Xenopus tropicalis: one gene and its partner. The protein of the gene in region 1 purifies or fractionates together with the protein of each later gene. This does not show direct contact. Links are inferred from orthologs where the notes say so. Each region holds a gene or a part of one and is shown on either strand. Other genes may lie near its edges.

Evidence for each region. The genes of interacting proteins can lie anywhere in the genome.
Region 2: the proteins of cd151 (region 1) and itgb1 purify together in Homo sapiens (affinity purification with western blotting; 4 studies listed by BioGRID and IntAct, with this or other methods). This does not show direct contact. The link is inferred for Xenopus tropicalis from reciprocal best matches to the Homo sapiens genes CD151 and ITGB1.

What each region holds. Positions count from the first base shown.
Region 1 is NC_030680.2:31,257,974-31,261,473, forward strand, and holds part of cd151 (CD151 antigen), read right to left. Parts: intron 3,404-3,500; coding exon 3,212-3,403; intron 1,854-3,211; coding exon 1,779-1,853; intron 1-1,778. UniProt on the Homo sapiens protein: Structural component of specialized membrane microdomains known as tetraspanin-enriched microdomains (TERMs), which act as platforms for receptor clustering and signaling.
Region 2 is NC_030682.2:22,870,724-22,874,847, forward strand, and holds the start of itgb1 (integrin beta-1 precursor), read left to right. Parts: upstream 1-1,324; 5' UTR 1,325-1,426; intron 1,427-4,124.

The DNA of each region.
Region 1 (3,500 bases):
AGGGATACTGAACCGGTGCTTGGAACTTCGACTGATTCAGTAAGAAAACATCGTTTGAACCCAGAAATGCCAAGTGTTTATTTTGGGGATTCATTCAAATTCTGTTGAAAGTGTATCTAATTTGAATCTAATAAATTTTTCTCCAAAATAGTTACCTATAGCAACCAATCAGACTGCTGCTTGTATTAGTCTTACTGCAACTGAATGAATTGCTGGTTGGTGTAATTCTAGAGTAAAATACGCCTAGTAATTTAGTATTTTTCAACCATGGAATTATCCTTGGTGCCAGAGTGGGATGGGCACATCTTTTAAAAATTATTGGAATGATATCAGAAATTCCTCTCCTTTCCCATGAAAATGGTGACGTTAACACATGATGCGATTTTGGACAGAGAATATGCTTTCCATGTAATTAAGAAAACCCTGTTGGTAAGTGATCTGCTGCCAAGTTTATAATCTTTCCCACTGCACCAAGACATTTTCTTGCCTTTAAATGCCTGCAGGGTAGAGTGTAATTAAATACAGATTAGATTAGCTAAAAGCACTAGTATACTTGGCATATCCGTACTTATCCTCCTAAAGAAAGGGTGATACACACCACCCATGCACGACAGGAATCTGAGGCAGCTGTATCTGTCAAAGCCAGGCACAAAAAGCACTAAGCATTAAGGGAGAGAAAGGTTTTGGGGATCCATGAGGTTAGGAAATGTCCTTCACCCTAAAATGTGCCACCACCTAGGTACAGTGGCCCTAACAAGCAAATAGAAATGGGGTCAGTATTTTAAAACTCCTTATTGTTTCAAAGTGAATCCATAATGTGAGAGCGTTCCAAGGACTCAACCTGCTGGGCACCAGTATACAGGTAAATTCTCTTCTAGCCCTGCAGTGCCCATATCTTGTAATAATTACAAACTTGCTAATATTTAGCAAAAGTAATTTTGCAACCTTGCGCTAAGGGGTTGAAACCAATAGACCTCAATGAGGGGTGTTAGGCTAACAGACTTAGGGAGTAAATAGGTTTGTTTTAGTCTACAACTGGAATAATCCCCAGCTCACAATTGACCCACTGAGAGAATAAAATCTGTTACATTGCCACGTACAAACCAGCAAATGGCAGACCTATTCTTTAAAGATATTATTGTCATAGTTAAAGTTAAGTCTATATATGGAGTTTGTACTACAACAGTTTCCCTAAAATAGGAACTTCCGCTGAGAATCCCTTATGCCTTCAACACTGTACTGCCTTGGTGCGGTTATCAGCATTTTACTCAATATATCTCAAGATCAAATTGCATAAGGCCCCCTAAGGTCCATTACCACTAAGTCCCTTACATTAGACTGGGTAGGATACCCTCAGAATACATGAAAAGTCCCAATCAAATGATCTTGCTTGGGCACCTAGACCTCAATCAGTAAATTATTCCACCTGTTTTTTTTGTTTAATAAATCATCACTTATCACTTCTGAGGTAAGGTAACATCACTTAAGGGTGGCATGGCAAGCTGCATCCCACAGTGACGTCACGTCCTGGTTATAGTGATGCCACATCCATGGGTTACATTATGCAGTAGGGATTATGGCAAGTAACATAGTAAGTTAGGTTAAAAAAAAAGACATACGTCTATCAAGTTCAACCTTAGTAGTAGTTAAAAGCAGGTCCAAGTTTGGTTGCAGATGCGAGTTGGGAGTGGGTCTGCCTGTCTAAATACTAGCAAGTTTCCATTCCATTCCCCTTTGTGCTACCTTTCCCGGCATGTGTGCACTTAGCAGCTGCTTACCTGCTGGTAGTAAATATAGGCCAGGATTCCTGCCAGGACCTCTAGGATAAAGATGCACAGCAACAAGATGAAATACTGAAAACCAAAAAAAAAAAAAGTTTAATTACATTAAAATTTCAAATTTTTTCCCCAAAAAAGTTGCGCCATAAGATAAGGATTTTATATATATATATATATATTTATTAATATATATATATATATATATATATATATTAATATATATATAAACAAGAATGGAAACCACTGGCACTCACATTTAAAGCACATAAACTGCCTGGGTGCAGCCTCAAAAAACAGGAAACAAAATCGAAAATGACGAAACCGCTCTCACAGGACTTAGATAAAAAATAAAGATTCCTTTAATGTGATGGTGGACTAACGTTTCGGCTGAACACCTCAGCCTTTCTCAAAGTCAATCAAAAAAGGGGCCGCGTCACACAGGTCTTATCATGAATTTTAGTAGTTTTTTAAGTGAAAAAAACGAAGAACTGACGTTTCGGCTACTCCTGCAGCTTTTCTCAAAGTTAACAAACAAACTAAAAAACAGACTTAATACCCAGTGTGGTGGGAAACCCAGTCAGTGATACAGACCAGCAGCTAAATATGTTAGAAGACAGCAACAAGTGACAGACATCCTAAAGTTTTAGCATATACACCTTCATTAAGGGGTTGTTGTAAGGTTTCTGCCATGTGCCCTTAACCTTTGAGCTGCTCATAATAATTATATCTTGATGTGATAGCTGTGAATTTTTTAAGCTACAGCTCCCAAACTGCACCAATCGCGACCAAATGTATGCCTGCTTTATTAGCTAAGCAAGACAAGCTTTCATTATGTGCATTTTGAGACTGTAGTTTATCATGTTACCAACAGATGGCAGCAGCCTGTGCTTGTTACTGGATGCCATTAAAGAGATGGGGTAATGAAAGAGTTACAGGCAAGTTTTAGGGAGGAGTGCATGCTGGAGAGAGATCCGCACACCACCAGCATTCCTAACATTACACCAGCATTACAGGGATGGGTAGACTAGCCCAAAGACCCATTACGTACAAGCTACAGAGAAGCTACTATCATAAAGAGCATTTACCTCTTGTGAATTTCCAAAACTTAAATATAAGGCATTGTACATGGCTGCAGCTACTAAGTGACTGGTCTGTATACAGCAAAACCAGATACCCAGCTACTATTGATTAAGAAAGTCCCTAAAGAATTGCATGATATGAAGAAGTGCATTCTATGACAGACAAGTAAGACACACCCTTGCTCACAAGAGCTTACAACTAATCAAAGCTTGCTCAAAGAGCTATGAGTAACAAAATAAGCAATGAAAACCATGATAATGTATATAAGGGATTTTATAATATATTATACTTCGCTATATTCCATAAAGCCGCCCAAGCATACACACCCAATGACTGATAAAGTGACAACTCACCACTTTGAGCAGGCTTTTTCTCTCCTTAAAGGTGGCACAACATCCCAGGATGCCCGTTATCATAACGATGGCTCCAGCAATGACCAGAATGTAGGCAGTGGCTGCATAGGTGTTGGAAGGCAGAAGACTAATGTAATCGCTTTTCTGAATGAGTGTCCAGATCCCCACGGCCATTACTGCCAGGCCTGCCAACTGCATAGAGAGGGGGAAAATGGGGAATTAATAAATAAATAAGGATAACAGTTACATGTAAGAATATTGCTAACTGCACTACTTTGTTGTAAAAAAA
Region 2 (4,124 bases), on another chromosome or scaffold:
GAAGTGAACAATGGGAGTGATTACAGCCTGAGCCTGAGGTGTGAACACTGCAGGGGGTGAACCATGCAGGTATTAAAAGGTGTGAAAAACACAGGGGATTAAATTTTTAAACAATACAGAGGGATTACAGCCTGAATCTGAGGTGAGAACCATGCAGGGGGCCAGTTAATCTCAGTACTGATACCATTTAATGCTTACTCAAAGGTAAACCATCAAAGCAGCCAGACAGATGGGGGCCACACAGAGGGGGGTCGCGGGCCGCCAGTTGGACAGCACTGCCATAGACCATGGATCCCCAACCTTTTATACCTGTGAGCCACATTCAAGTGGAAAAAGTGTTGGGGAGCAACACAAGCATGGAAATGGTCCCTGGGGGTGCCAATAAGAGCTATAATTGGCTACTTAATAGCCCCTATGTGGACTGGCAGCCTACAGAAGGCTCTGTTTGGCATTATACTGGGTTTTTATGCAACCAAAACTTGCCTCCTTACCAGAAACTCAAAAATAAGCAGCTGCTTTGAAGCCACTGGGAGCAACATCCAAGGGGTTGGGGAGCAACATGTTGCTAAAGAGCCACTGGTTGGGAACCGCTGGCATAGACAGTCACTACTTATTGGCCCGGTGGGGGTGCTACTTTGGCCTTTGCGTACCTGAAATGCCAGGGCCTGATGCTGGGGTACCATTAGAATACGGCGGCACACAGATATTATTGCCACACTTGCCTGACTGGTAAAAATTAGGCTTCATGTCAATGTTATAAATAGATATAAATAAAAATATTGGAAGGCTGGTATTTTTTTCCAGAAAAGGTGGCAACCCTTCAGGCAGATGAACCCTACCCTGGGGATTGCTCGCCTGTGGCCTGAAGAATGAAACAAGAATCAGTAGAAGCGCCCAACAACATACAAACTGCTTTCAGCTACTGACTGCCATCAAACCATGTGGTACCAATAAACTGTACTGTACTACAAGCAAAGCTTATCCCCTGGAGTGTATGCCTATTGAGCTGTGGTACTGGTGCCAAGCTGTGCCAGATATCGGGAAGCGATCCCAGTGCTACTAATCAGACAGTATGGGGCAATAGCCGCCACTACACAGTGGCCATGTGGGAGCCCCTGCCCCCATCCCCCCCCATTCCCACGTAGCCAGTCCCGCCCTCCCACATCCTGACGTCACCGGGCTGGAATGCGCTTCCTGCGGCGCTTCTTGCTCTGGCTGTGCGCGTCCGTGTGAGTGCGGGGGCGCGCTTGTGGTGCGTCAGCGCAGGCTGGGTGCTACTCGGGAGGGGACCGTTACTGAGAGCGGACACTTCATTCAGCGCGCAGACCTGCCTGGGCTCGGAGGCCGCAATCTGAGGCAGCGCTTAGTCTGTGCGATTCAGCCCGGCAGGGCGCCGCTCCTGGGATCCAAGGGCCCCACGCCAAAGGTGAGCCGCCGCTCTGTGTTACCTGCATTCTGGCCCCAGTGTCCGCTCACTTGGTACAGTCTGTGCTTAGGGCATTGCTGCTCCGTATCTGCCTCCCTGTGGGGAATCCATATGGCTTAGAGAAGCCGGGACGTGTAGCAGCTACTTTGCACGCCGGGAGTTGTATTGTTTGTCAGTGATAGGTACAGGGGGGCAGACTTGGGGCTCTACAGCTGCTGGGAACTACTGCATTCACTCGCAGGGGATTGTGGGACTTGTAGTACATGCCACCTGGAGTTTTTCCATTGTGGAGTTTGTGCTTCAGTAGGTAGAGGGTTAATAGAGACTGGGGGAGGGGGTGACCTTGCTTAGGGGCAGCTTCCTATAAACTTTCCTTGTTGTGGGATCCCACCCTTCCAGGGCTGCAGCGCTCTCCCTCCTTAGTTACTGCGCTAATTACATGATCATGTGTGTAGGGGGCTCTGTGTAAGTGAATTGGGTGTCTGGCTGGGACTGTATGTACCCCCCCCCCCATAGAGACAGCAGGGAGTTTCCCTGCAGGAATGTGCACAGAGGGAGGCGGCAGAGGACATCCTGGGAGGGGTGAAGGGGGGGCAGTCTCCTTCTTTCTCTCTTTATTTTTAACAGTAGATCATTACCATAACCATAGATATTATTAACCAGGGCTCAGCCGGCCCACGCTGTCCCCTTTCCCTGTGTGTTCAGTAGGGCGCAGGGTAGTTGTGCCACGGTCACTATAAGTACAATATAGCACTGCTTCATTTGGCTGCTGGCTCCTAACAGAGTCTCCTAAGAGAAGGCGGCCCCCAGGCACGAATAATGGTTTGGCTGACACTGAGGGCACTTATATTGAGTTATGAGTGGGTGCTTGTATGTGGCTTTTTTTATTGAAGCCCGAGCAGCGTTTTAGCCCAGAGGCTTCCGAGGGTGGATGAGTCCCAAAACGTATTCTTGGCAGGGCCGGGTTCAAGGGTGGGTAACAGAGCCTAAATCTGTGCTGGGAACCTTATGAGATTAATGGTGAGGTAATCAGTATGACAAAGGAACTAAAATGTTCTGAAAGCTTGCTGTGATTATCTTAGTTAGCCAATAAAGGTATCGCCTTTATACCACTTTTATTTCTAAAGGGTTACCCTTATAAACATTTTGACTGGCTAACACAGTATATCACCTTTTCCTGCATGGTGAAGATTCAAATATAAATTCATAAAAGAGCTTTTATGAAACTCAGTGTCCCACTTTTCCTATGATTATCTGCCACCCCGGGCAGGCAGGGCCCTTTGTGCAGAGGATCAGGGTAGTCTGGATTATATAGAGGAGCAGCCACATTCTCTTTACAGATACTACACTTCAATTTAGCTGAAAGGACAACAATTACCATTTCCGCCCAGTAGGAGTGTAAAGCCACACTGGGGCTTATTGGCTTTGAGCAGCTGTGCACACAAGGTGCAAATCAGCACTCCCTGTGCCACCAGCACCTTATTTGCACCTTGATGTGACCTGCACATTGTTCATAGGTCCCAAGTGACTCCGTAGTTGTATCTAGGCACTGAGGGTCATTTATAAAATTTGCACAGTGCAGAATTATTCACACAGTGAACGTATTTACTCTACCTGTATTTATATTTATAAAGCTGGACAAGACTGGTGCGTTTAATGGGCAAATATAATTGCGAAATTTTTATTCACAGTGCAAATGCCCTTCAAGTTTTTTAAATATGGCATATTCGTAAATTGCGAATGTTTATGCGCGCAGTCTGTGTCCGCGCTATATTTATTCATAATAAATGGGCACAGAGGGCAAATCGCAGTCTCATTTGCGAATTTTTGTGCGCAATTCACATTTCACTGCGATTTGCATATATCTAGAAGGCATTTCCCTTGTGAGTAGAGGAGGCCATACCGGGCAGATTTTATCTGCCAGTGTGTGGGCACGAACAATGGGTCTGCCCGACCGAGATTTGGCCAATTTCAGGCCAGATGTTGACTGGGCAGGTTTGATTTTTCCGTCGTATCGGGAACCACATTGGCTCGTTGATGTGGCCCCTGTTTTAATTTGAATTCGCCTGATATTGCTCACCCATAGGTGAGTGTATTTGGAGAAGATACGTTTGATTGGTGACCTCGCCATAGAGTGGATCTTACCGTGTATGGCCAGCTTAAAAGTGGTAAAGTGACCCCCCCCTAGACCCTGTCTAAGCTCTAATATGAGCTGTGCTGGTTAACCCAAGATCAAACCTGTATACATCTAATCAAGATGGTGCTACTGAGAATATTCCCTAATATAGGTTTGTGTCAGAGAAAGAGATTTGTCACAGTGATTTATAAGTTAATTATCTGGAATTGTCTCCCCATCTGTGGGCAGCATGTTTTGTTAGGGTTATCAACTACAAATACATACGTTTTTTTCTTTTAGCATAGTGCTATTCTAAGGTAATTTGCAGTTGGTCTTGCATTGGTCTCTGTTTTTTATTTTCGTTCAGCAGATCTTCAGTGTTGAATTTTAGCATCTACCTGGTTGCCAGGGTCCAATTTAAACTAGAAACCAGGCAGTGGTTTGAAAGAGAGAGGGGATTATAGGAGGGCCTTAATAGAAAGATAAGTAATAAAACAATAACAAACTATTGCTCTGTGGGGCTACAGTTTAATTTTTACCTGCTGGGGTCAGCGACCCCCATTTGAAAGCTGGAAAGAGTCA